4 linked regions of the Rattus norvegicus genome follow. The protein of the gene in region 1 interacts with the protein of each later gene in a pairwise test. Links are inferred from orthologs where the notes say so. Each region holds a gene or a part of one and is shown in the gene's direction. Other genes may lie near its edges. The genes, in order: Nfya, Zc3h10, Gtf2a1 and Pogz.

Evidence for each region.
Region 2: the proteins of Nfya (region 1) and Zc3h10 interact in binary tests that used the Homo sapiens proteins (3 or more experiments, as listed by UniProt). The two-hybrid records come from large-scale screens. The link is inferred for Rattus norvegicus from reciprocal best matches to the Homo sapiens genes NFYA and ZC3H10.
Region 3: the proteins of Nfya (region 1) and Gtf2a1 interact in binary tests that used the Homo sapiens proteins (3 or more experiments, as listed by UniProt). The two-hybrid records come from large-scale screens. The link is inferred for Rattus norvegicus from reciprocal best matches to the Homo sapiens genes NFYA and GTF2A1.
Region 4: the proteins of Nfya (region 1) and Pogz interact in binary tests that used the Homo sapiens proteins (3 or more experiments, as listed by UniProt). The two-hybrid records come from large-scale screens. The link is inferred for Rattus norvegicus from reciprocal best matches to the Homo sapiens genes NFYA and POGZ.

What each region holds. Positions count from the first base shown.
Region 1 is NC_086027.1:20,081,601-20,088,922, forward strand, and holds the start of Nfya (nuclear transcription factor Y subunit alpha), read left to right. Parts: upstream 1-3,480; 5' UTR 3,481-3,605; intron 3,606-7,322. Other genes in the region: ADP-ribose glycohydrolase OARD1, read right to left, coding at 1,790-1,934, 2,294-2,332. UniProt on the Homo sapiens protein: Component of the sequence-specific heterotrimeric transcription factor (NF-Y) which specifically recognizes a 5'-CCAAT-3' box motif found in the promoters of its target genes.
Region 2 is NC_086025.1:1,557,900-1,565,359, reverse strand, and holds Zc3h10 (zinc finger CCCH domain-containing protein 10), read left to right. Parts: upstream 1-3,318; 5' UTR 3,319-3,362; intron 3,363-3,747; exon of another isoform or gene 3,748-3,888; intron 3,889-4,128; exon of another isoform or gene 4,129-4,152; 5' UTR 4,153-4,216; exon of another isoform or gene 4,217-4,292; intron 4,293-4,452; exon of another isoform or gene 4,453-5,168; intron 5,169-5,438; 5' UTR 5,439-5,490; coding exon 5,491-6,798; 3' UTR 6,799-7,412; downstream 7,413-7,460. Other genes in the region: Rpl41 (small ribosomal subunit protein eS32), read left to right, coding at 2,064-2,075, 2,379-2,401, 2,620-2,662. UniProt on the Homo sapiens protein: Specific regulator of miRNA biogenesis. Binds, via the C3H1-type zinc finger domains, to the binding motif 5'-GCAGCGC-3' on microRNA pri-MIR143 and negatively regulates the processing to mature microRNA.
Region 3 is NC_086024.1:116,226,616-116,233,462, reverse strand, and holds part of Gtf2a1 (transcription initiation factor IIA subunit 1), read left to right. Parts: intron 1-263; coding exon 264-339; intron 340-1,593; coding exon 1,594-1,727; intron 1,728-1,977; coding exon 1,978-2,298; intron 2,299-6,003; coding exon 6,004-6,093; intron 6,094-6,847. UniProt on the Homo sapiens protein: TFIIA is a component of the transcription machinery of RNA polymerase II and plays an important role in transcriptional activation. TFIIA in a complex with TBP mediates transcriptional activity.
Region 4 is NC_086020.1:185,106,787-185,113,633, forward strand, and holds part of Pogz (pogo transposable element with ZNF domain), read left to right. Parts: intron 1-1,286; coding exon 1,287-1,462; intron 1,463-2,732; coding exon 2,733-2,841; intron 2,842-4,534; coding exon 4,535-4,825; intron 4,826-4,904; coding exon 4,905-5,114; intron 5,115-6,847. UniProt on the Homo sapiens protein: Plays a role in mitotic cell cycle progression and is involved in kinetochore assembly and mitotic sister chromatid cohesion.

The sequences.
Region 1 (7,322 bases):
CTGAATCAGCTATACTGGCCAGTGAGCCACAGAGATCCACCTACCTTCATCTTCCCAGGATTGGGAACAAACATATTTGTGCCTAGCTTTACAAAAATAAAAGATGGGTTCTGAGGATGAAACGTCCACCTTCATGCTTGTTCAGTGACTGAATCACGCCCCTATCCCAACAACCACCTTTCAGTGTTGTATTAGACATTATAAGAACACTCCTCCTTTGCACCCCACTCCCTACTTCTTTATGCAGCCCTGGCTGCCCTAGAGCTTGCTCTGTAGACCAGGCTGACCTTGAACTTACAGAGATCTGCCTGCTTCTGCCTCGTGACTACGAGGATCAGAGGTGTATGCAACCACACAGTGCTATGAGAGCCACTGAAGGTCCTAAGTTATTCCATTATCTATTCAGAAACAGTGCCATCATTTCTGTTGTTGTTGTTCTTGTTTGTTTCCCCAAGATAGGATTTCTCTGTGTTAACAGTCCCAGCTGGTCTAGAACGCACTCTGTAAACCAGGCTGGACTTGAACTAACAGAGATCCATCTTCCTCAGTCTCCTAAGTGTTGACATTAAGGGCATGTACCACCGCCATCTGACTAATGTCATCATTTTAAATAACTGTAACCAAAGGCAGTAAGCTTTTGTCCCAGCTTTATACAAAATGGTACAGTGTCTTAGCAGTCTGGAGAACTAGCTCTTCTGCAGAGGGTAGGGCTGAACTATAGTCCGAGATTATTTCAGAAGCTCCAGATGTACTCTAATACACAGTTCTCATTTAAAGTCACTGGCAGAAAGTGGTGGACGGATCTGTAAAGTGGTTTCCAAACCACACTTCACAGGTCTAAGTACATAGCCCGGGCTGGCCTGGAACTCTTCATGGAGACCAGGCTTGTCTTGAACTCACTGTGATTCATCCCTCTCTATATCTCAATCACTGGGATCGAGGTGTCTTGCAACCATTTCTGGCCCAAATCACACTGTGAAGAATTAAGTTGAGAAGGCCTGCTGTCGTGGCTCATGCCTGTAATGTGCATTTTCAGGAGCCTGAGCCAGCAGGACTGCTAAGAGTTCAAGACAAACTTATGTTTCACGCCAAGTGCCAGGCCAGCCTAGGCTCCACAATGAGACTCTACTTCTAAGGAAGAACAGAGTAATATTTAGGACAGGACCCTGACCGCCAAAGCACATGGAACTTGATAAGGCCTTCAGTTAACCAAAGTTTGAGAGAAGTGAAATACTTTGGAAGGACAACTTTGGGGCAATGAGTTAATCAGTAAAGTGCATACTGCACAAACATGAGAATCTTGGGGTGATTCCTAGCACCCACATAAAACCTAGGTGTCAGGTACACACTGTAGAGCCCAAACTGGAAAAACACATCCAGGATGCCCGGCACTAACCCAATGGGGCTAAATGGACAAACTCTATGTTATTAAGAGATTCAAAAGAAAAAGGTGGAGAGCAAACAAAGACAGATGGTGCCAACCCCAGGCCTCCTTACATGCATGTATCTGCATACTGCAAACTCAGACACAAAAAGGGGGAAGAGACCGGAAACTTTGACAACTCTGATTAGTGTGGTAAAAATCACATCAGATGCCAATCTTGAGGAAGTTAAAAAAAAAAAACAAACAAAAAACTCTAGCAGCAGTAGCTGCACAACAGCAACAATAACCCCTTAACAGTTAAAAGCAGTCACCAGAAATCTCTTTGTACATGTACACGGAGTCTAATGGAAGACCACACCAGGCTTCAGCCAGCATGAAACAGGATACGATGCTCTCAGAACTCACGTTGACTTAACAGTTCCTGCACCCCTCCAAATCTCTTCTTGAAGAGAACAGCTATTCCAGCACCCATTCGACAATCCTCACTGATACAATGGGCTAGAGAGTCTGTTTTGGGGCATGCGAAAAGATCTCCTTTCACATAAGTGATCTAAAATGTGCAAAGGAAAAGAAAAAGGTTAAAACCAGAAAACTGTTTCTCCTTTCAGATCTTCAACAGAGCCCCACCCCTACTGCCCCAAACCTGCTTCTCTGACACTCTGAATTAAAAACATCCCTTCCCATCTTAAAGAATTAAGCACTAAATTTTAAAGTATCTGTAAAAGGGAAGTGAGGGATGATTGTTATCTGCCTAGGATTGTATTAGCCTTTCCCCAGTAAATCAGCTTGAGAGAAACAAACAGGGAGGGGCGAGAATCCAATTATTGGTTTAATTAAAAAGTGTTTATGCTTTTGACCTCAATTACTCTGAATTTCACTTCACCGATAAATTTAATAGCTGTTACGCACTCGACTTCCTTCTGGATCTTCATTAATGCGGCTGGCCATGATACTGAGTCGCTATTTCCAGAATTTAAGAGTTTCTTCTGCTAATGAAAAGGAAAAGCAAGTAAAAACGGCGCAGGCAGCCTGAACATCGCGTGTTCAGATCACCCTGACAACCCATTTAGTTTTCCCCACCTCCTTAGCGTATTATCTCTGAATTTGAGTTCACTCAATCTCTAAGAGGCAACACAAAACAGCTTTCCAGGAGCGGAAGAAAAGGCGGTCCCAAGACACACCTCCTTACTTTCAAGCCTTCTCCTAGCAGGGTAGGTTTAGGACAGTCCAGTATTTCCCCAGAGAATATGGCTTAGAATGGGAAAGACTTGACCACAAGCGCATTGAGCGGCAATCAGAGTGAATCGAACTCAGGTGGAGAGAACAGCTTCTCAGGGGACGATCACCAACTGTCTTGGAGGTGCAGGAAGGAAAGTGTGAAATGACTTCTCATTCTCTCCTACTCTAAGGAGGGAAGTCCTGGGATCCGTAGAAAAGTGGGTGCTGGGGTCATTCTTCACCTGCAAAGGAATCGGCCGTCAGCAGGCCCTCCTCCACGCAGGGAAGGGTTCGAGATGAAACCCTCGAAGATGGGAAGCAACAGAAGCGCCCCGACACAGAACAAATCCCGCCAAAGCCTTTGATTGTACGCACTCTAAGATGGCCGCCCCCATCCCTTAACGGGGCGGAAGTGAGCCTCTCTAGCTAGGTAGCCGTGCCCGCTCTCTGTAGTAAAGGCTTCAGAATTTCCGGCGGTAAATTCCGTAGGTTCCCGCTGCCGCTCAGGCATGCGTACCGAAATACCGACCCCTACTAGAGAAGAAGAGCGCTTGCGCATTTGGCCCTAGGGGGTGGGTCCCAGTGGACGCTTAGATATAGGTGGACAGTTTAAAAAAAAAAAAGGTGGAGGCGTGTTAGCGCCTGCGTAGTATATAACTCAGGGCGGTGTTTAAGAAGACTAGTACGGAGCTTGTGGAAGGCGCCTGCGTAGTCCTCTGTCGGAAGGCGGTGTCAAATCCAGGAAGTGGGTGGGGCCTCTGGAACGCCTGCGCAGTGCTCCTCCCAGGGGCGGGGCCAGATTGGCCGGGGTTATGGGGCGTGGTCTCGAAGGCGCTTGCGCGAAGGCGGTTGGAGGGAGGCCCGATTCCCCTTTGTTCAGATTCGCCATTTTGCGAGGCAGCGGCAGTGGCGGCGGCGGCGGCGGCTGGAGCCTCTGATTGGGTTTCGGGGTCCGGTACTGGAGCCAATCAGCGCGGGCAGCGAACCGGGGGAGCGAGGCACGGTGAGTATGAGGAGCCAATATCCAGCGGCCCAGAGCCGGCCCCAGCGCCCCGATTGGCGGGTCTCGCTGACCACTCAGGAGAGGCCCAGGCGTCCGTCGAGCCCGGGAGTCGAGCCGAGGCTGCCGGAGTTGGGTAGCCAGCAGCCCCGGCTTGGAGTTTGTGGAGGCCTACGGGGGCCGTCTAACGTTGGGATGGCGCCCTGGAGCCAGGCTTTTTGGGATCTGGATACTCTCCGGGTGCCGGTGGCGGATGCGCCGCTCGTCCCGGATCCTCGGGTCCCGGGAGGTCAGGTGGCCGACCGCCCAACCACGGGTCGTGGCGGTTTCCCCAAGTCGTTCCAGCCACATCCTACGGCCTGTTCTTGTGTCCCCGCGTTCCGGGCCCCGGCGAGGTCCACGTACCCTGAGCTCTCCACAGTTGGGACTACAGATCCCGAGCGAGGTCAGGCGGAGACGCGCGGCGCGGCCTCCAAGACCCACCCCGGGGCCGTTGGCGCGCCTGCCCCTCCTCTCGGCCCGCCACCGGGGCTCCAGGCCGGCGCCGTTACCACCCCTTTCTGGGTCGTCATTTCCTCCCCGCTCTGCCCGCGGTGCCGGCACACCTCCGTGCTGGATCCCAACCAAGTGCTCTTCCTCTTCGGTGTGTCGGTGTTTGAAACCTTGCCTGATAACCTTGTGCATTCTTAATGATTGGGGGCACTCATCTCTCAGTTCCTATTTATCCATACCTCCTCCCTTGAACTTTCTCCCTTGGATGCTCTCTGGTTTTGTTTTCCTTTAATCTTTTTTGTGTCAGTCTCCGCTCAATAACTCAGCCCACCGTGTCTTTTTTCTAAAACACTTTGGAATCCCGCGTGAACGTTTTCTCAATTGATGATTTAAAACTTGCACATGCTTAGATTACACCACACCACACACCCACTCGGGCGACAGGAAGTCTTCCAAGGGCTGCTAGCCATAGTCTTTGGCGGGCATCACCCAAGTGCTGCAAGGAGGAGACGGGTAGGAGCCATACCTGCTCAGTGGAGATTGACTGGTGCTAGTGTTTCATAGGGATCTAATCTAGTATCGAGAAGTGCTGTTTGCATGAGGAAGCCTATTTTCATCGCCACACTTTTGATTGGGTGTTGGAGGATAATGTCCTCGGAGAGGAAAGACTGAAAAGAATAACTGGAACAGATAGTGCTGTCGGACGCAGAAAGGCCCAGGAGTACTGAGTTTAGGCGGGAAAGACCCATTTGTAAAAACCTTTGCAGATGTTACAAAGAAATTTTTTGAAAACAGTTTGGACTGGAGGTTAAAAGTGGCCTAGAGTGGATTTCTTCCCTAACCTTTCGGGGAAAGGTTGCTGACCTGAAGATTCTACCCCATAATAATGGCTGGATTTTTTTTTTTTTTTAAGGAAAAAAAGGAATTTTTTTGCCTGGAAGAGGGAAATTATCTTTTACTCAGGTGAAGCTGGGAACCGATTTTCTGTGTATGAGTTTTTAACTGATAGGGTTTGAGAAAGCAAATCCAATGTTCCCCCTTCTAAACCAAAACAGCTTGCAATCACATTTACCCTTAAATTGTTTACTAAATTCCCTTATGTTCGTTTGCCTTTTTTAGTTGCTGTAAACACCACACCAAAAGCATTTCATTATTATTTCATTTTCCATCATGAAGGGAAGGAAAGACCAGAACTCCACCAGAAGCCATAGAAAGGTGCTGTGTGCTGGCTTGTTCTTCGTGGTTTTGACAGCCTTTCTTGGTTTGGGCCTTCCCACATTAAAGAAAATGCCCCTATAGGCTTGCCTGTTGTCCATTCTTAAGGGGGCATTTTCTCAGTTGATTCTTCTTCCTCATTCTGGAAGACCCTAGCTTATGTCAAGTTGACCAAAAAAAAAAAAAGCCAGCACACATTACTTCTTCCATTTGTGATAAACGAACTACATCAGTACAGTCTTTATAGGTCTATTTGTCTTGTCTTTGGACTGGGTTTTTTAACTTTGGTTGGAATTTTAAAAATGGATGCATCTGGCCACTTCAAAACTGCCAAATGTTTTTGTGGACAAAGGGCCATTATCTGGTCACGGTGACTCAGGCCTGTGGAGCCTCCCCTGGTTTCCTCTGCATCTGCATTTCAAGAAAAAGTAGATTCTCAATTTCTCGAGACAGAGCCCAAATGTTTTCCCTTTATTTGAAATACTTCACCGTAGACTAGTATCATCTGGGTAAGATCTCACATTTAAATCTAATTCACATGACACCCTTTCCTAATGTTTTTCTTGGTTTGTCCTCTGGTGTATGATTGTCAGGTCAGATGGGCTTATTTTAGTCGCATTTCTGGGCATTTCCGATTTTGCTATCTTCAGATAGGTTACCTACCTTTCTAAGTGCTGGCCAACTGCTTCTGTGCCATGTGAATGGTCAGAAAATGCTATGGAAAGAGAATGTCTCAGAGGCCAGAATAAATCCATTTTCATTCATATTCATTCATGTTCTCACTTTCAAAACCACATTCACAAGTTTGTGGAAGAGCTAGACAGACTAAATCCAGCTCTTGATTCTGTCATAAACTTGGGCAAAGAAATGCTTGAGGAAAGAAGTGTGTCAGGTTGTGCCACAGTTCTGCTGGCTGAGGTGACAAGGAAGGAGCATGTAGCTGCACTGGAGCCAAGAAGCAGGCACTATGAGCAGTCTGAGGCTTGCGCTCCAAGCTCTGTCACTCCCTTGTCAATACAGAATGACTGCTGAATTTGAAGCTGCCTCTGTTTTTACCCTCTGAAGCACAGTGGGTCTCAGTGGCCTGAGAATGGAGCATTTGTATCAGCGAGGTAAATGAATTAGATCCAAGTGTTCCTTACAGCCATTCCAGTCCTCTTGTCCACTTCAAGCTCCATTCTGCATTTAATCTGATATGATGCAGATTTAGGAAATTTAGCCAAGAAGAAAGCTTTATAGGAAAGAGTCTTAGGGCTAGTGGAAGTGTTGAAATACAGAGGGTGAGTGTGTTTTTTTTTTTTTTTTAAACATCAAAATGTAATCATTGTATATGTCTATATTTGGGTGAGTTTTTAAAGCTCTCCACACCTGTACAGTCCCCACTTGAGAAAAAGGATGAAAACGTTGGTCATCCCCATAATGGCTGGCTTGTTCAGTCAGTCTCCTTCCCTCCCTCCCTCAGGCTTCAGGAAATCCGATTTGTTTTCTGTCTAGGCTACTGCTGTCAGTTTCTTATCATGGGGCCATGCTTGTTTATATTGTAGCCTTAATTTATTAGTCTGGAGACAGATACATTGTTAAACACAAGGTAGACTTGGAAACATTGGGTAGACTATGGTAGTGCAAGCTTTTTAATCCTAGTAGTCAGAAGGCAGAGTCAGGTGGATCTCTGAGTTTGAGGGCAGCCTGGACCATGCGACCACCATGCAGCTACCTGTCAACACCCTTGAGCCTCCTCACCCCAATAAGGGAAACATTGGTTTCCCTAGTGCAGCCACTTAGTTTGGCTGACTCTCCGTATCGGACCTGGAGTCTCCACAACCAGCTCAGTCAACCGGCTCAAGAAAGGCTGGTGTAAAATTCTGCAAATTTAGCCAGCTTTTCAGCTGACGGGATTAATATTCAGAATACAGAAAGAGCTCAGAAATTACAAACAAAATAATCTAAGCAATAAACAAGTAAATAGATTAGACAGTTTCAGAAGAAGACAAGTGACCTGTAGATGTATTTAAA
Region 2 (7,460 bases), on another chromosome or scaffold:
TGGTTTTGGTTTTTTGTTTGTTTTTTGTTTTGCTTAACTTGATCCACTTTTAATCTTGGTCTTTGAGGTAGGAATGTAGACCTTTCATCCAGATCATTTGAACTGGGAAAATGCACCCCTTTAATCTGGACCTTCTATTGAGAAGACACACCTTAAATCCAGATCATTAATTCAGATTTAATCTGGGCCAGGACTACCAGAATCCTATATGAGGACCGGGAAGAAAGAAGCTTTTGCTCTTTGCCAGTTTGCCTCACCTGCTAGCAAGTCTGTTCCTTTGGGATTCCAGTTTATACTGAAGGGGAGATAAGACATCCAGCCTTGTGCACTGAGCAACTACTGGATTTTTGGACTCTATGTTCATAGCCAGCCATCTTGTAATTCATTCATTTTAATACCCTTTCTCTATAGATTTATATCTAGATCTATAAATTCTATAAATCTATAAATTCTGCTGAGGTTGAGAACCCTGACTAAAACACTACTATAAAAGAGGACTTGGCTTCTTAACTAAACCCCTGAGACCCTCTCAAAACAAAGGGGCAGTAAGTGACAGGTATAGTCATTCCCAGAACCCAAGTCGGGCAGGTCATAACAGCTTGAGAAAGAGTCTCAAGGGATCCAATGTCCTCTTCTGGCTTCAGCTGGTATCTGCATGCCCTTACCTCCATACCAACATACAGACACAATTATGATTATGTCTTTTTACAAAAAGCATACTACAGTATGCTTTCTCTGCTTGCCAATCTTACAGCCTCCAGTTTGCAAATTTTTGGGTTTTTTTCGAAACAGGATTTCTCTGTGTAGCCCTGGCTGTCCTAGAACTCACTAACTCAGGATGTAGACCACGGTGGCCTTGAACTCAGAAATCCTCCTGCCTCTGCCTCAGGGAAAAAGCGTGCACCACCACCTCCTGGCTCTAAAATCTTTTTTTTTTTTCTTTTCTATTTTTCGGAGCTGGGGACCGAACCCAGGGCCTTGCGCTTGGTAGGCAAGCGCTCTATCACTGAGCTAAATCCCCAACCCCCTGGCTTTAAAATCTTAACTCTTTTAGAAATTCTGATATGGGGCTGGAGAGATGGCTCAACGGGTAAGAGAACTGACTGTTTTTCCAGAGGTCCTGAATTCAAATCCCAGCAACCACATGGTGGCTCACAACCATCTTAAAAAAAAAAAAAAAAAAAATAAGGGTTGGGGATTTAGCTCAGCGGTAGAGCGCTTGCCTAGCAAACGTGAGGCCCCAAAGTCTTTTAAAAAAATTCTGATGTTGACACACAGTTTAACTGGGGGATGGCAGAGGGATCAAATAGAAGATAATTAGTAATATTTTTGTGGGGTTGGGGATTTAGCTCAGTGGTAGAGCACTTGCCTAGCAAGCTCAAGGCCCTGGGTTCGGTCCCCAGCTCCGGAAAAAAAAAAAAAAAAGACCAAAAGTAATATTTTTGTTTATTTACTTTAGGCAGGGTCTCATTATGTAGATCGGATTCACAGAGCTCCGCCTGCCTTTGCGTCTACCTCCCAGCAGATGGTAATAAAGGCGTGCACCACCAAGTCAGGGCAAAACTAGTAATTTTTACTACAAGCCACACCTATCAGTAGTAAGTAGAGATATTTACCAAAAAACTACAATTCCCATGAAGCAACGAGAAGACGGAGGTTATTTTTTTTCCGCCTACTTTTTCTCAGTCCCATACTGGAAACAGGTGCTCGCGCTGAAATAATACAATATCCTTAATATAGAAGGAAAGGTGGGGCTTGGTAACGCGCACTCAAAACATTTTCCTCTAGTAAGGCAACCGGAAGTCACTTACTGTCTCGAGCAGCCCCTCCCTAAGGGAAACAGAAGGGGCGGCTCGGAAGTGACGACACCAAGCACGCCATTAAATAGCAGTAGGCCGGACTCCCCGCTCTCTCGGTCTTAGCGCCATCTTCCTTGGTGAGTTACCGTGTTAGCTGTTGTTTCGACTTCGAGTACAATCCATTAACATCCGACCTCCACATTTACTCTCATCACAGCAGACTAACGGCAATTTCTTCCCTTTCTTTCTAGAGACTCCTGCGCCATGAGAGCGAAGGTGAGCGGTTCATAAGTGGTGAGCTTGGGCGGTAGGAAGGAATTGTGAGGCGGAAAATCAGGCAGTGAATCTCCGCCATGGTTCTTCATCGGGTTTGCAAACGGTTTGCTTCGGGTTTTCACAGAGCCGAGTACAGGCTTAAGTCGTAGCTGGAGGAAGGTGGGAAAACAAGATTCGGATCTAAAATTGAGCCAGTGCCGCACCAACTCTTGATTCTTTGTCAAACCTGTTTTCTGAGTAATGTTCTTACCCGGGCCTACTGCTAACATTCTTTTTTGTCTTCTCACATGATCGGGCTTTTAGTGGCGGAAGAAGAGAATGCGCAGGTACGTTAATTTTTTGACTTAACATTGGGGCAAAGGGGCAAAGCTTGGGGTGGGATGTTTAGAAGAAACTTAATGTGAAAATGTTTGGCGTGGAGGGACGTTTAAGCACGGTTCATCGGAGCTGGTGTTGTTTAATTTCATCGTATTTTGTACGAAGTGCAGATGGTAAATGTGGGAAGGGGAAAAAATTAACTCGGTTTGTGTGCCTGCCTTTCCAGGCTGAAGCGCAAGAGAAGAAAGATGAGGCAGAGGTCCAAGTAAACCATCTTGTGCACCCACGAAGCCTGCGGGAGCAGAAGTAAGGGATGCTGAAGCCCGGAACAAGTGGTTGGACTGTATGCTGCTGTCGGTAATAAGTCTCAGTAGACCCGGAATGTCACCTCGCCGAGATCAGCTGGGAAAATGACTACCTTCCTCACAACCAAAACAGTCCCGCTGGCCCTCTGCCCTGGACCTTTGGCATTCTGGACTAGTTCTGTTCTCTTGTGGCCAAGTGTAACTCGTGTACAATAAACCCTCTTGCTGTCAGCTGAAGAATCAAATCGCTGTTACGTGTTTTTTGCGGCTCCTTTGGGTGGGGAGTTGTGTAGTCCAGTGTAGGCAACAAGAGCCCGGGTGTTTGCGATCTGGCTGGAGCCAGTTGATTTAGTGTGCGCCTGAGTTTAAGTTAGAGTTCGTGCATTCGCAGTGCCACTTCTATGTTTTGGGGGGCCCCTGCGTAGAAGTTGACGCTGTGCGAGTTCCGGGTGCGGAGGAGTCGTGTTACCATGGTGACGCGCAAGGCTTGCTGGGAGCTTCCTGCGGTTAAGAGCACGCAATGGGACCATAGAGTGTGTTTCCGGGTCTGGTGGCTAGAGCGTCCCTTTCTTCCGCAGGAAGCGGAAGAGCCGTAGGGTGGGCGGCTCTTTGTCGAAGCTAGAGGACCGGCAGGCGGCAGCAGCAACTACGGCGGCGGCGGCAGGTGAGGGAGGCGGGAGACTTAGGTGGAGGCCGCGCCCGGAGGGGAGGAGTCGGGGATGGCCCATCGGCTGGGCTCTGCCGGGCCCCACGAGCCTCCTCCAACAACCCCCCCCCCCCGAACCGACCTGGCTTGGCTTTTCCTGGTTACCCAGAACAGAGCCCTTTTTCTGATTGACCTCGCTTCCCGAGCAAACGCCAGCTCCGTGACGTCACAGCCCTGCCCATCCCCTCAGCTTGATGTCACCCTTAGCCCCCCTCCCCTTTCACTTCGCTTCCTTAGTGTCCTAGTCACCTGGTCCCCGGCTCAGTGCTGGCGCCGCATCACGGAGCCGGCCAAGCCAGAAGACTTCCAGGGGAACTCGTAGGACTTTTCGTGAACTCTAGGGTGTTGGGGACCGTCGTAATCACCGCCCCCAAGTCTTAGATCGCCTTCCCACTGACAGTAGTCAGTTGTTGCCCTTGTCCAGCTTTCAGGTTTGGCGTTCCGAAATCCAACCTTCTGAACCCCATATCCTTCTCATCTTGAGGTAAAGCTCCCCGAACCCTTCTGCCACCAGAAACTATTTTGTTTTTCAGTTCAGCTTCCCAATCTTTATTGGTCGGTCCTAGCCCTATCTTTATTAGGGACTTCTCCCTATGATAGGTGACTGGCACTTTGAACTCTTAAGGGAGCCTAAAAGCCACTTTTTATTAGAATTCATTTCAGTGTATGAAAACCACCTCGTAGCCCTTTCACGTTGTTTTCCTTGTTCTACTCAAATCTCCAGGTTTTTTGTTTCTTTCTTGTTCAGAACCCAGCAGTGATGTGGAGGTGGAGACTCACGGGAGCCCCGGACTTCACCTGAGCTACCTCAGGTATTAATTCTGGGATAATGGGGTGAGGAAGATTATCATATCCAGTTACCTGCTTCTGGTGGGACTTGAAATATAGGTGAGGCTCTGGAGGTATTTAGTCTTCACCCGGTCGTCATTTTTCTTTCAGTAAGGGCTTGTTTTTAACCACTTGTTTCTTTTACTCTGGGTCTGCTCTTCCCATCTTGCATATTCTTGTGTATCTCTGGCTTCTAATCTTGTTAGTTATTTTAGGGAAATCTAAAGGCAAAGTCAAGGAAACGGGTGTGAATGGGATAGGTCAAAGAAATCAAGAAAGGTACCTTTATTCCCAAACGGAAACTATGAACCTCTCCTATTTGACCTGTAGGGGGAGCCTGAGTATTTAGGGAACATTTAGAAGATTAGACACGTGTTAGCAGGGACTCCCAGTCTTACTTAGGGGTAGAGAGAAGGGAGGGCTAGAATTAGGGCAGTGGATCTACATTCCAGACCTCTCTTGAGAAACAGGAGACTTAAAAAGCTTTTATAGAGTCTATAAATAAAGAGGATTTGTATGGGGTAAGGAGTGCTATGGTTTGATATTAGTCGGAGTGCAGTGGGGTGGAGAATGGGGAAAGAAAGGTCACCGTTCCTGTGAAATTAACCCCTTCCCACCTTGAGCATCCCACAGTTTGTCCTAGGATCTAGAAGTAGAAAGTTCAGGTCAGAGCTTCTTCCCCGAAATGAGGGTGTTTGTGTGTGGAACAGACTGGGAGATGAACAGGTTTAAGGATGACCCTGTAACTAGTGACACCAGTCTTTTTACCAAGGGTTTCTACAATTCATGGAGACTTGCTGAGTTCACATTGAAGAGGGATTAAGGGAAGTTCTGTTTCTGGTGTCCCTTCATCCACGAGTTCTCAGAGCAAAATAGCCCAGTGTTCACACACCAACACCTGCTTTAGTTTCTCTCCCACGACTTAGAAGAGAGAAGGTAAAACCTCACACTGCCCCCCTCCCCCTCCCCGGCTCATGTTAGTAAGAGAAGTGGCTTCAGCCCAGCTCTCTCCCTCTTCTGTTAGCCAGGCAAGTGTGAATCACTCCAAATGAGACCAGGTGCACAAGGGCCTAGGCGGGGCTCTGGCAAGGCAGCTGGGCCGGCTGGGCTTCTCCTTGGGCTCTCCATCTCCAGAGCCACTGCCCCAGAGGACTGGGGGCTTCTGGAGGACCTGTTTGACACCGTTCTCTCTCTCTTTTTTAACAGTCACCAAGAGTGGCGAGAGAAGAAACAAGACCCTGAGCTGGGGGGAACCAGGATGCCTGACCGGGACAGCTATGCCAACGGCACTGGGAGCAGCGGTGCAGGCCCTGGAGGTGGTAGCAGTGAGGAGGCCAGTGGAGCAGGGACAGGCAGTGGGGGGGCCACCTCAGATGCCATCTGTAGAGACTTCCTGAGGAATGTCTGCAAGCGAGGCAAGCGTTGTCGATACCGCCACCCAGACATGAGTGAGGTATCCAATTTGGGGGTAAGCAAAAACGAATTTATCTTCTGCCATGACTTCCAAAACAAGGAGTGTAGCCGTCCCAACTGCCGCTTCATCCATGGCTCCAAGGAGGATGAGGATGGCTATAAGAAAACAGGAGAGCTGCCTCCTCGGCTGAGGCAGAAAGTGGCAGCTGGGCTGGGTCTCTCACCTGCTGACCTACCCAATGGTAAGGAGGAGGTCCCTATCTGCCGTGACTTCCTCAAAGGTGACTGTCAGAGAGGAACCAAGTGCAAGTTTCGTCACCTGCAAAGAGATTTTGAGTTTGAGGCTCGAGGTGGAGGAGGCACTGGAGGTGGAGGCTCGACAGGCTCTGCTCCCCCAGGACGACGGCATGATCTCTATGACATCTATGACCTTCCGGAAAGGGGCTTTGAGGACCATGAACCGGGCCCTAAGCGCCGGAGAGGTGGCTGCTGCCCTCCTGATGGCCCCCATTTTGAGTCCTATGAATGTAACTTGGCTCCGCTCCGTGGAGTGGAGTGCAGACTGCTCGAGGAGGAGAATGCTCTGCTCAGGAAACGTGTGGAAGAACTGAAGAAGCAGGTCAGCAACCTGCTGGCCACCAATGAGGTACTTCTGGAGCAGAACGCCCAATTCCGAAATCAGGCCAAGGTCATGACCCTGAGCTCCACTGCACCCGCGACTGAGCAGACCCTGGCCCCCACCGTGGGCACTGTGGCCACTTTTAACCACGGCATTGCCCAGACTCACACTACTCTGAGCAGCCAGGCTCTACAGCCTCGGCCTGTGTCCCAGCAAGAACTTGTGGCTCCTGCTGGAGCACCAGCTGCTCCCCCAACTAATGCTGCACCTCCTGCTGCTCCACCACCCCCACCTCCACACCTGAACCCAGAGATCACACCACTGTCCGCCGCTCTGGCTCAAACCATTGCCCAGGGGATGGCACCCCCGCCTGTGTCCATGGCCCCTGTAGCTGTGTCTGTGGCCCCTGTGGCTCCTGTGGCTGTGTCCATGGCTCAGCCCTTAGCAGGGATCACAATGAGCCACACTACTACTCCTATGGTGACGTACCCCATTGCCTCCCAGAGCATGCGCATCACAGCCATGCCACACTGACAGGCCAAACGGACACTCCCTCCCTGTCATAGCACCTGAGGGCTGCGGTCAGGGGCCCTTCCCCACCCGCAGAGCCCAGCCCTCCCAGGCTCTGTCCAGAGGACCACTCAGAAACTAGGACAAGAGACTACAAGGAATATACTCGGTAGGAGCGTCTCCTGAGGCAGGGTTGTGCTGCTGTGTTCTCCCCACTCTTGAGAGGGTCGTCTCCTTCAGGCCTCAACTCAGACAGGCTTGCACAGGCGTTGAGACTGAAGCCAGCAGAAAGGGCTAAGGGACTGTGTTTTCTCACAGGAATTTGGGGGGGTGTCCCTGGTCTTATTTTCATTGTGAACAGCACAGATTCCAGCACTGATATGGGAGAGAAAGATTCCTCACCCAGAGAGAGCCAGGAAAGATGGAGAAGTGAAAGTCAGTGGTCAGGAGCAAAGACCGCACGTGAGCCTTCAGATGGTTTGGGGCCCAAAAATACTCCTGGGCCCCTGGGGAGGCCGGGACCATAGTACTCCAACCCAGAGTAGGAGAACACTCACTTACCTCGCTTGGCCTGGAAATCTGTAGGGCAGTGCCCACTACTTTCCAAAGAAATAAAAGAACGTTATTTTTTAACAAAAGTGAAAATTGCTTTGATGGCTGTTGGGGAAGATTGGAGCAGAAAGTAG
Region 3 (6,847 bases), on another chromosome or scaffold:
ATAAAAAAACGCTTCCGTATAAGGTTACTTAGAATAAATTCTCTAAGGGAACTAAACAATTGGACCGTCCTTTCTTGAAGTACTTCAGTATGTTATTTAGGCTGTGCTGTCTGTTTTGTGCCACATTGAACTTAATCTTGTTGCTAGAATGCTATCATAATAAACTCCTTCCTGTACTGCTGTGCTGGCACTGCCAGGAAACTAAGATTTTGTTGCGTGCACATGCAAATATGACTTTCTTCCTTTGTTTTTTATTATTCCAGAGTGCTGCTGCTACAGCTGCTACCTTGGCGCTCCCTGCAGGCGTGACTCCTGTTCAGCAGATACTAACAAATTCAGGTAACTAGAAACGGGGGGCAGCTTTAAATGTTGTTCAGAAGTTAGCATCAAGGAACTCTAATGGTTATTGTCACTGAAGAAGGAGGACAATACTGACACTTGTTTGAGCTTTTGTTTAGATTGTTTAAATGATTTAAGTGTTATAAAATAGAGAGCTGTAATCTTTCTTGAGGCTACAGTTGAGAAAATGGAAGTTATAGCCGGGTTTGGTAGCATATAATCCCAGCAGTTTGGAGTTGGAGGCAGGGGGTCAGAAGTTCAATCTCAGTCTACTTTTATAGAAAGTGTGAGACTAGCAGAGACACTGCTTTAAGAAGAAAAGGGGATAGAGCTTTTGTTCTTGGATGGAACCCTGCTGAAGAGGCATGATTATGTAGAAATGGTTATGTACTGGGATTTTACTAAGCATCTGTCTTGCCAAATGACTTAAGTGAGATATTGTGATGACCAAGTTGAACATTTCACAGGCCTGAATAGCTAATACCTGTCATTTTATTTTTGTTAATTTCTAAATTTGAGGAACCAGTTAGGGCTTTGTCTTGCTGCATGTTTTTGCTCACTCTTAAGGATTCTGTTATATCTAAAGGAACATACACGAGAGTATTGTATATATTATGTTATTTGGTCATAATTTCGGCATTCTAATTGACTCACAGCAAATTTTCATTGCATATTGAAAATTTTAAGCAAACCTTGTGCTTTGGTTTAAGATATAAATGAGATATTATACCTTTGTGCCTTTAAAGTTTAATAACAACCATTGAAATATCTGATCCTATTTACTGCATTTCCTTGACTGCTACCATATGACGAAAAGTAATTAAGGCTATCAGAAAGTATTATTTATTTATATATATATATATGTAAATATATTTTTTCCAGTTTTAAATTCTGTATATATGGGTATTTTGCCTGCTTGTATGTGTGTGCACCACATGCTTGCAGTTCCTTGGAATACCAAAAGAGACCATTGGATTCCCTAGGACTGGAGTTAGAAATACTGTGACTTCCCATTTGAGTGGTGGGAGTGAAACCCTAGACCTCTGGACTAGCAGCCAGTGTAACCGCTGAGCAATTTGGATATAGAAGAAAACTGGGAACAGTAATAGAGTGTAAGGCGTATAGTTGATAGTCCTCTGTAAAATGCTTACTCTTCTAACTTGGTAGGTTCTTTGGCTTGAAAGCAATATAAATTTCTTTGTGTTTTAATTGCTGCTTAACTAGTAACTTGGACTATATTCTTTTTTGCCATAGGCCAGCTGCTTCAGGTAGTCAGAGCAGCCAATGGTGCCCAATATATCTTTCAGCCTCAGCAGTCAGTTGTTCTACAACAACAAGTTATACCACAAATGCAGCCTGGTGGAGTACAAGCGCCTGTTATCCAGCAGGTAATGCAGTTTTACCTACCATCCCCTTGATATTCATTTTCTTTGGCTTCTGCCTCTGCTGTATGACTTTGTGTGCTTCCCCGCTCTTTTCCTGGACAGGTTAATAGGTGTACAGCAGTCAAGAACAACCTTATTCTGAGTTAAGATGATATGCCTTCAAGCACATTTCTCATGTTTAAATTATTATTAGTTTGATTTTGATTTTGGATCCCTGTAACCAGTTTGTAATAGGTGGTTTTGTTTGCCCTAGGTCCTAGCCCCACTTCCTGGAGGGATTTCACCACAGACCGGTGTCATCATCCAGCCACAGCAAATCTTATTTACAGGGAATAAGACTCAGGTCATTCCTACGACAGTGGCAGCGCCCACACCAGCACAAGCACAGATCCCTGCAGCTGGACAGCAGCAGCCACAGGCCCAGCCTGCTCAGCAGCAGGCTCCATTGGTGCTGCAAGTTGACGGAACAGGGGACACATCTTCTGAGGAAGATGAAGACGAAGAAGAAGACTATGATGATGATGAAGAGGAAGATAAAGAGAAAGATGGAGCCGAAGATGGGCAGGTGGAAGAAGTAAGTTTCTACAAAAGCCTTGAAAAGAAAAGGCGCTCACCATTCACTATTGTATTTGGTGCTAAGCAGACAAATTATACACTATTTTTTCAGAGGGAGAGAGAGGTGGGTGCTTGCACTGTTGATTGTACTATAATTCGATTATCCGTTTTTGGATCTATTGATTATTTTGGTGGCTTGTGTTCTGGAGCTCCTGCATTTCTCTTTATGGACATGAACTTGCCAACCTAACTGTATGAGTCTATCTTGCCATTTTGTCTGTAATTCGTAAACATCAGTGTGTTATCACTTCATGATAGAGCAGACTGTTAAAAATTTTCCAGTCTGAAAACCAGTCTCTCGGTTTGGTTTTAGTTTGAACTTCTGTGAGTACTTAGAAGCTTCAGTTGCTTCCGTGTGTTTACTGTTATTTATTTTTTACTATGTTGAAATGGCAGGTAGCATTATTTCCAACCGTTTCCCACAGTTTTAGTCCTTCCTTAAGTGACATTTACATGGTATTTCTTCAGATTGCTTGTGTAATAGACATGTATAGAATTTTTAAAACTCATCGTTGAGCCAGCCTGATGTGTTTATAATAATGTGTTTGTTGACGCTTTTGTTTTTTATATAGAAGTTTTTTTTATAATGGTCTATTGTTTGTTATTGTTGTTGTCATCGTGGTTTTTTTCATTTCCTTGTACATGTCTTTTGGGGCTAAGTGAGTTGATTGCTTTTGTAATTAACCAAGTACTTTGCTTTTTTTTTTAATTACTAGGAAATGTATTTTATTATTAAATGCCTTTCTGCAACTCTTAGTCACAGTATCACATTTATAGCCTGCTATTTATGAATTTTATTGAGTGGTCCTACTTTGTAAACCAGTATTGAGTTTTCATTATGGCACAGCTTGGTCATTATGTATTATCCTCTCTAACTGCCGGACCCACATGGACAGAAGTTTTAGATCAGTGTTTATGAATGCGTTTGTAATTTCTTTTCTCTCAATCTTCTCACCAGTTCTCATGTTGATAGTATCCTTATGAAAGAATTTGTAATTTTTTTAGAAACATGACATAATCTCTTCTGTGATTTTTTTTTTTTTTTTTTTTTTTTTTTTGGGTTCTTTTTTTCGGAGCTGGGGACCGAACCCAGGGCCTTGCGCTTCCTAGGCAAGTGCTCTACCACTGAGCTAAATTTTTTTTTTTTTTAATTGTTTTAAAGACAGGGTCTCATTAAGTAGCCCTGGCTGGCCTGGAGCTCAGTGCCTCCTATGTTCTAGAATCAAAGGTGTGTCCCACTGTCTGTGCCTGGCTAAATTGGGGCGGGGTGGGATGTGTTTTGCTTTTTGTTTTTGTTGTTTGTTTTTTTGAGGCAGGTTCTTTTTTTTTTTTTTTTTTTTTTTTTTTGGTTCTTTTTTTTTTCCGGAGCTGGGGACCGAACCCAGGGCCTTGTGCTTCCTAGGTAAGCGCTCTACCACTGAGCTAAATCCCCAGCCCCTTGAGGCAGGTTCTTACTATATAGCACTGGCTGTCCTAGAACTGGGTATGTAGATCTTCCTGTCTCTGCCTCCCGGGTGATGGGGTTAAAGGCTTGTGACAACCATGGATAGCATCTGGGTATTTGCTTCTTGTTGTTGTATTTACCATTGAACGACCTATCCCTCAGCTCAAGAGCATCTATGAAAGTTTCAGTCTTACAACTGTAAGCAATTCAGTTCTGCCAGCCCACCTGAATGAGCTTGGAAAAGACTCAAAGGTTTAGGTGACAATATGGTATCTTGTGATGCCATAAATTTTAACCTATGTGAGACTGAATAGGGAAATTTTCTATATTATGCTATGCTTATACTTTTGAGCCTCAGGAACTATAATAACAGATGTGGTTTTCTTTTCTTAAGCATTTTTAGTCATTAGGGAAATGGAAATCTAAACCACAATTGGGAGGTCGTCATACCTACTAGGAAAACTATCATTAAAAAAAATTATGTGTCTGGTGGTTTTGTCTGCATGTATTTCCATGTATCATGTGTATTCATTGCCTATAGAGGCAGAAGACAGGGTGTCAGATCCCTGGGATTAAAGTTAGAAATCGTTGTGAGCTGCCATGTGGGTGCTGGAATTGAACCCAGGCTCTCTGGAAAAGCAGCTAGTACTCTTAATTGCTCAGCCATTTCTCCAACCCACACTGCTGTATTTCTTTTTAAAAAGAAAGTTTATTGATGATGATGAGGATTAGGAAAAATCGGAACCCTTGTGTATTTCCAGTGTGAATAAGAACCAAAACAGCTTTCACAGAAAACAGGGCTTTGAACACAGAATTAAGCAGAGTTAGCCATGTGCTGCTAAGTTTCACTTGCAAATGAACATAGGAAAGAATTGAAAACAGGAGTTCAGACAAAACCATGTACATGAGTGCTTACAGCAATACTCTTGTCACTTTCCAAACAATACAGACATCCTGAATGTCTGTCAATAACTAGTGAATGGCAAAGAAAAAGTGGCCTATCCAGACAACAGGACAGCATTTGACCGGACTGTAAGGAAGCATGAAGTGCTGTGCGTGCTGCTACATGAGCATACACGAACACCCAAGCACAGCACAGACACCCACAAATTGTATTGCTTTATTTATGTATACAGAACAGGCACATTTATGAAGTCATAACGCGGATTGGTGGTTGCCAGGACACAAGAGGGAATAGAGAGTGATTGCTTATGTAAAGGTTAGTGGAGTGCTCTGGAGCTGTGGAGACAGGAAGTGTATGTTCTAAATGGTTTTATCGTTTTTTTCCCTAACATAGACATTTCTGTTCAAAGAGTATATTTGTCACACACCCCTATGTATGAGTGGCATACACCAAGGCTTTAATATCCTCAATTATTTTCCTTTCTACCTCTGTTTTGTCTTGTCTTTCCCCTCGTCATTTAAATCTGAGTTAAAGCTTCTGTCTTACACCACAAATGAAGTTTAACCTTATTTTATCAAACCCTTCTTTGGTTTTACTTTTGCCTCTGAGGCGGTTCATCCTCTACGTTTAAGAGTAATTTAAATCTTAATGATTTTTTTCCACCATGTCATCATGTTGATAAACAGTACTGATTGGCTTTTAGAATCTTAGTTTTTAGTACAGCCCTGAGGCCACACTTTGTTTTCTTCTTCAATGCCATTTTTTTTCCTTTTAAACTGTTGCTGGTACATAATACTATGACCTCATGAGGCCGTCATATCTTCTCAGGTTTATTCCTAGGCTTATGAAACAGGGAAATTTGTCTTGAGTACTTATTAACGAGTAAAGAACAATTTAAAAATGATGTGCATGATCGATTTTGCCTACATGTGTGTTTGTTTACTGTATGAGTGCCTGGTACCCAGGGAGGTCTGAAGAGGGCATCTGAGATTGGAGTTAGAAATGGTTGTGAGCTGCCATTGTGAGTGCTGGGCGTTGAACCCAGGTCTTCTATGGGAGCAGACAATGCTTTTTAATGAGTTCCAAAGGAAATAAATGTTAACCTTTTGAGTCTTGTGAGTTCCCTAGCTTAACTTTCCTTAATTTCTTGCTGAAGTAACATGAGCAGACCTTAAGCGTTGACAGCTCTGCATTCAGTGTGTCCAGATACACACCTGACGTCCTCAGAACATCCCAGCTACAGGAGCTCTCAGTAAGAGTTACAGGAAACTTTATAGCAAGCGGTGCATGAGATCTGTGTCTCCTTTTGTTTGCAGGAGCCCCTCAACAGCGAAGATGATGTAAGTGATGAGGAAGGGCAGGAACTCTTTGACACAGAAAATGTTGTTGTATGCCAGTATGATAAGGTAAGGACTTCACATTCGGTCGTGAACGTTGTTTTTATTGTAGTCTCTCTAAACCATCTTTTCAGCCTCACTGAAACATTTAGGCAGAAGATGACTGCCTGTATTTCTGTTTTTCTTTTACTCCTGAGACCAGGTTTTATTTAACAACTCAGGATGGCCAGGAACTCCCATGTGTAGCGAGCTAGCTAGTCTAGGATGACTTTGTATTCAACTGTACTCCTGCTTCAATCTGGGCTTATAGGCACATGCTGCCTACCACGTCTGGCTTCCTGACTTGTTATAGCCAGTGTGAAGGGACGCATTGTGACTGCTTCACGGTTGTTTGAGTAGAATGAGTAGAACTTGACTCCTTAACATTGCCTTGAAGAAAGTAATGGTAAGATGGTGAGAGATGATCATTTTCATATTCATCCACCTTGTAACAGCCCCCCTGCCTTCCAGGGACAGAACTAAGGTAATAATTTTTTCTTTCCTAAACTTCAGCTCTCTTGAGTCTGAAAAGACCTTATTGATGAGTTTTATGAGCTTTCTTAAAATTTTACGGATTTTGCTGTTCAAGGAAGTTTTAAACCAAACTATTTGGGAATTGATCATTGAGTTTTGTAGGCCCCCTTAGTTTATAAGGTTTTGGTTTTTTGGTTTTTTTCTTCCCTCCACTTTTAAGTGTATGATATGAGTGCTTTGCTTGCATGTGTGTATGTCTGTGCACCATGTTTGTGCCTAGTGCCTGCCTGCAAAGGCGAATGGAGGTTGC
Region 4 (6,847 bases), on another chromosome or scaffold:
TTGAACTTCCTATTTCACTGAGGCTAGCCTTGGATTGCCTCTATTTCTTAAGTGCTAGATTTACACGCACGCACGCATCCTTGCACTCGTGTGCGCACACACACACTTTGGTTTGTTTTGGTTTTGAGCCTTGGTGTACTGTTCTCATGGTTGGCTTCAAACTAACAAGGATGGTCTTGAGAGGCTTACTGTCCTGATATCAGGATCACAGGCATGCACTGCAAGCCTGCCTTGTGCAGTGCTGGGGTTTGAAGCAAAGGCCTCATGTGTGCTGGACAAGCACTCTGCCAACTATGCTACGTTTCCAGCCTTTTGTAACACTTTTGATAACCATTATTTGATTAGCATATTTACAGTAGATTATAAAAAAGATACATTGAAGTTTCATTTGTACAGAGCTACAGTGAGCACTGGATATAAATGTGCATATACAGCCTGTACTCAGGAAGGTGGGTTGAGAGTATTGGCTGGGTTTGGAGCCAGCCTGGGCTATAACAAGGCTGTCTCAGAAAACATCTCCTCCAATAAGGCCACATATCCCATTCTTTCTCCAGCTGCTCCATTAACTGCAGCCCAAGCACTCAAACATAACAGCTTACAGGAGCCATTCTCACCCAAACCACCACAGTTGCTATTTCCTGTAGAAGAATGTCTCGTGTTATTTTGGATCAAACTAAATGTGAACCTTTCTCAAACAACAACAAAGTGGTTTAGGGCTGGTGAGATGGTTCAGGGAGTGAGTAAAGGGCACCTGCTGCCACTAAGCTTGAGTACCTGAGAGCTGCTTCTCTCTCTCTCTCTCTCTCTCTCTCTCTCTCTCTCTCTCACACACACACACACACACACACACACACACACACACACTAAGCAAATGTAAAAAAGGAAAGTTTAAAAGGGGGTTAGCCAACAACAAATTACTTTCTTACAAAAAGATTTTACTTTAAATTTGGAAAGTCTTACCTTTTTTGGCTCTGCTGACTGGGGAGAAGTGTGTGATGACTTAACTCATTAGTCTGAAGATAGGAACTGGTGCCTCTCAGCCTTGGGCCAGGCACGGGTGGGTTAGTGAGCTTGTATTCTGTTAGTTGTAGAGTTGAGTGAAGCTTAAATTGTGAGTTTAGTGACATTAAGCCTGAAGTGAGTAGTAGCAGTTAAGTAATTTTGATATTTGAGACACTAATTCTTAACTGAGATAATAATGTTTTTATGAATACAAGTTTAGCATTGTTTCTAACATCCCTTTCATGTTCTGTTTCCCTTTGTTTTGCCTGCCTTTTGCTTTTTAGCTGGTAATACTTTGGTCCAGCAAGGTGGACAACCACTCATCTTGACCCAAAATCCAACACCGGGTCTGGGAACAATGGTTACTCAACCAGTATTGAGACCTGTCCAGGTCATGCAGAATGCCAATCATGTGACTAGCTCCCCTGTGGCCTCACAACCTATCTTCATCACTACCCAGGTGAGTGGGGCTTCGACTTCTAGGTCTGTTTGGGGAGATAGACGGTGAGCCTGCAGAGGCTCTGCCTTGGACACGATCTTTATCATTGTTAGAGTTCTGTCTGTTGAACTGAGGTTCTCCGTACTGTTTCATGGAATTCTGCCTTGTGGAATGCTCAGCATAGCATTATGGCTACATGATATTGCCTGTCCATGCACCTGAGAGGTCTGTTGAGTTGAAAGTCTGAGCAGAAATCATCAGGAAAGTTAGAATTAGAAAGGCTTCACTCAGGGCTGGAGAGACGGCTTAACCATCAAGAACATTTGTTGTTCTAGCAGAGAACCCAGGTTCAATTCCCAGCACCTACATGTCAGCTCGTAGCTGTGTCTGTAACTTCACTTTCAGAAGGCTTGATGCCTTCTGACCTCCACAGACACCAGGCATCCCTGTGGTGCACATACATACGTGCACAGTCATACACATCTTAAGGGGAAAAAAACCTGAAGCCTTCACATTTGCCTTGCAAGGGATAACTTTTGCCTGGGCTGCTTCTATCCCCTAGGGTGAATTCATTGACTTTTAAATACATGTATAAAATAAGTGGTCTTTGAAGGAAGGCTCTGCCATACAGTATACCGGTTGTCAGTTGAAAGCCCAAATCTGGGTGGAATTTAAGAGGCACATGCTTCTTTCTGCCTTTGTAGTTACCAGAGGTTTGTGGCCTTTGAAGTGGGCTTGAGAGCAACATATTTTTAAAAAAAGGTGATTTATCTGTCGGAATACTAGATTAAATACTATTAGTGATTTTTCTTCCCTTCAAAGCACAGTGTATGGATGCATAGTTTTGTTGCTTTTGCTTCTTTAGTTTGCTAAGCACTCTGGGTGTGGTGTTACATGCTTATAACCCCAGCTTTTAGAATGAAGCAGAAAATTGTCATAAATTCAAGGCTTGCCTGGGCTCCATAGCAAGTTTAAGGCCAACCTGGGCTATATAAAGCCCTGTCTCAAAAAAACAGAACAAAAATACCCCAAAGATATTTGCCAACAGAATTAGGAGTTTGGGGGCAGCCTAAGCTACATAGCAAGACCCGTCTCAAGGCAAAAACAAAGGACAAAAAACACCCCATAAAAACCTAGCATGCCATAATTTCCTAAAATTCTCCATTTCAGTCATTTGAAAGCTGTGATTCTAGAGAGAGCTGCTAGGTAAGACTGTGGAGCTGTCAGTCATATTGTAGTCAGTGTCTGGCTAGTTGGTCTGTATTAAAGGTCATTTTTCTTTTTGATACAGGGATTCCCTGTAAGGAATGTTCGCCCTGTACAGAATGCCATGAACCAGGTTGGGATCGTGCTGAATGTACAGCAAGGCCAAACAGTCAGACCAATTACACTGGTCCCAGGTAAGGACATGTTTACAACCTGGCATCCAGATACTTACTCTTATTGTTTCAAAATAGTCTCGGTCATTTGGAAGTATGTATTTAAACAGAATTTTAAAATACCATGTTAACAATTTAAGTCCAATTTTAAAAAGTCTGAACTTTAGTCAAGTGGTAATTTTAGTTTTACATTTAACTTTTCACCACCATTCATGAGGTAAAATAAGTCTTATTTAGTCAAACAGTATCTGCTGATGAGGTCAGCTCTTGTTTGTTATCCTGAAAGAATATTGTTAATGCAAACCCACAAATCTAATGCTCCCCATACATTTACTCACTTATGGGATAGGATTATAAATTGAATTTTTCTTTAACTGTAAAGCATAGGTTTTCTATATGCCACTAGGTATGGTGACACACTCCTGGAATCCAACATTCAGGAGGTTGAAGCAGGAGGATTACTGTGAATTTAAGGCCAAGTCTTGTCTCAAGAAATAAACAAGCTAAGGCAGAGGTTGGGGGAATTTTAGATATAAATTAAGTAAATGATAGATGTTTTGAAGATAATACTACCATTGACCATATAATGGAATATTAAAGAATCTTGGGGGGTTGGGGATTTAGCTCAGTGGTAGAGCGCTTGCCTAGGAAGCGCAAGGCCCTGGGTTCTGTCCCCAGCTCCGAAAAAAAGAACCAAGAAAAAAAAAAGAATCTTGGGGCTGGAGTTATAGCATTTTTAGCATTGCTTGAGGCCTTGGGGTCAATTTTTCAGTACCAAAAGAAGATTCTTGTAATTTCCCCCCAAATCACAATGCTTACCTATTAGGTTTTCTACAGTTTGGCTCAAAAAGAGAGTAACTTTATTTGTGTAAACAGTCCTTAGGACCAGTAGGTGTCTCAGGGCTAAATGGACCTGTGTTCACTCCCTAGAGGCCACATGATGGAAAGAACCAGTTCCCACTTGGTTTGCTCTGACTCCACTTGCACACTGTGGTATGCATGCCACCCCCACCCCCCACCCCTCACACATATACACATACACACACTCAGATAAATACAAGGACAATAAGGGGCTTCTGTGGTTGGCTTTCCAAAGCATTTTGTTTGTTTTTTTTTTTTGTTGTTGTTGTTGTTCTTTTGTTTCCTTTGTTGTTGTTTGAGAGCCATCAGGGCATTTAAGGCATAAATCTGATGAGATGTCTCTAACATTCTGAGGTTCTCTAAATGTTTTTCCCTGGGATTGTCTACAGTAGTTCTAGAAAAAGGTCAACCTTTGGGACATTGAGGTAGAGTAGACTGCCTGTCCTATTTGAGTATACAGAAGAAAATGGAAAATTCTTTTAGAATTCTGAAAAAAGACTTTAAGGACCAAGTCTGCCCTTTGGCCTGCATATACCCAATCTTTTCCCACTTCTAATATGGAGGCCAAGCTACTGTAAAAAAGAGTGTGTGCAGGGCATCTGAAAAGAGTTGGTGGGAATTTCTTCTGACTGCTGCTTTACGAAACGTTGGATAATTCCTTTTGTTTGACGGACAGCTACAGCTTTCTTAGATGTTCAGATCGATGCTACTCTTAGTGATCTCTGGTGGTCACTCAGTCAGTTTAGGGAGTAACTTTTTCCTGTTCTTGTATTTCTAGGAAAGGCAAGAAAATATTTTATAGGTGAGCTCACTGATGAAGGTTTGGGACTTTTTTTGTCTCTTTTTTTAAAAGCCCCAGGTACACAGTTTGTTAAGCCGACAGTTGGCGTCCCACAAGTGTTCTCTCAGATGACCCCCGTGAGGCCAGGCTCCACAATGCCTGTGAGGCCCACCACCAACACCTTTACCACCGTCATCCCAGCTACTCTCACCATCCGAAGCACTGTCCCACAGTCCCAGTCCCAGCAGACCAAGTCCACCCCCAGTACCTCCACTACTCCCATTGCCACACAGCCAACCGCATTGGGGCAGCTAGCTGGTCAGCCTCCAGGCCAGCCCAACCAGACCTCGAATCCCAAACTAGGTGAGATGTGGACGAGGAGACGGCAGAACAGCATGGGGCAGTGGGTGGGAAACAGATGATTTTCACTTGGTCAATGTAGCTCCCTCCTTCCCCTCTCCACCTGCAGTGAGCATTGCCAGCTTTGTCACTGTGAAGCGACCTGGGGTTACAGGTGAAAATAGCAACGAAGTGGCCAAGTTGGTGAATACTCTTAACACTATCCCTTCCCTGGGCCAGAGTCCTGGGCCAGTGGTGGTGTCCAACAACAGTTCTGCTCAAAGAACCAGTGGACCCGAATCTTCAATGAAAGGTAATGTGAGAGACTGAAACACCATTCAGTCACGCAGAAAACATTGCTAAAGCATTTCTTGCATTGAAACTATTGTGAAATGGATAAATAGGATGCAGGTGCTTTGTTTTTACAGAAATGGTAATGTGGTAAAAGATTGAAAATGTAGCTGCACCAGCAGCGTTGGGGATCAGGTAGTGGCATGGATGTGTTGATGAAAGAAGTCTGTGGAAGGAACAGTGGACTTTCTGGGGTAACTCGTACTTTTAAAGATGTATTTTATGCTTGTGGGTGTGTTGTCTTCATGTCCATCTGCACATTAGAAGATTACATTGGATGTCCTAGGACTGTAGTTACAGACAGCTGTGAGCTGCCACATGGGTGCTGGATTGAACTCAGGACCCCTGGAAAAGCAGCCGGTGCTCTTAAGCACTGAGCCATCTCTTGGACCTCTGAGGGGAGAGTGTTTAAAGTGGAGATGTGCTAAAGGGGTTTCAGGAAGATAGAGAATATGAATCTGAGGATTTTTAGTGGTCCAGAGCAGGAGCTGGTGACTTTCTGTGAATGTTCTAGGCTTTGTGCCCAGCACGTTCTCCACTCCAAGTGTTGTAGACACCAGCTGCCGACAGTAGGAAGGTGCTGAAAGCTGGACTCTGTTCCACCAAAGGTGTTTATGGGCTCTGAACTTAGAATTTTATATACTTTTCATGTGCCTCATTTTTCTTTTGGTTTCATTTCAACTATTAAAAAATGTTGAATTTTTTTAAATACATTGAAAAAACTAGATAGTCACAAAAATTTGAAATTCTTACTTTCTGTGCAATGTAAAAATTAATTGAAAGCCAGATATAGTGGTGAATGCCTTTAATCCCAGTGCTTGGGATGGAGAGACAAAGTATCTTTGAGTTGTAGGCCTGCCAGGGCAACATACAGAAGACCTGTCTTAACAGCAAAATAAAAACCCTAGGTAAATCAAAACCCAGGCAAACACAGAAGCCGTGACACTCAGAAGAGAGCTGCACATGAAATTGGCATGTGGTGGTGCATGTCTGTAATTTCCGCATCAGATGCCTGAGAAAAAGAAAGGGCTTGTGAGTGTGAGGCAGCTTGGGTTACACAGTGAGAATCTGTCTCAAGAATCCTAAACAAACAAAACCCAGCCAACTCAGAATGGGGATGAGGAGAGGTAGCTTAGTCAATAAAGTGCTTGCCGTCTAAGCATGAGCACCTGACCTAGATCCCCAGTGCCACATAAAAGCCAGCATGGGGCATATGCTTGTGACTTCAGCACCAAGGGAGTGATAAAGCCTGTCAGTGTTGCCGAAACAGTGCAGTGACGATCAGGTTTAGTTAAAGACCCTGTCTCAGAAATAATTGGGAGCGTGCAAGGGGAAGGGATCTGAAGTTATTAACCTCTGTCCTCCACAGGTAAGATATCCACACATGCATAATACACATATGTATGTATATACCATGTACAAACAGGAAAAGAAAAAAGTCGACACAGTTACACATGCTTGTAAATAGACCTAGCTACTTGTGAGACCAGAAAAGGATTGCTGTGTTCTCAGTATGAGCAAGGGTCTAGGAGGCAGTGCTGAGAACCTCTCCTAAACATAAATGGACAGTATAATGGCGTATATCGTAATCTAGCAGTCAGGAGGCCATGCATGAAGATTACTGTACACGTGTGAGGTCCTGCCATGACAACTGACCAAACCCAGAATTCCTAGGAAGAGAGCCTAGGAAAGAAG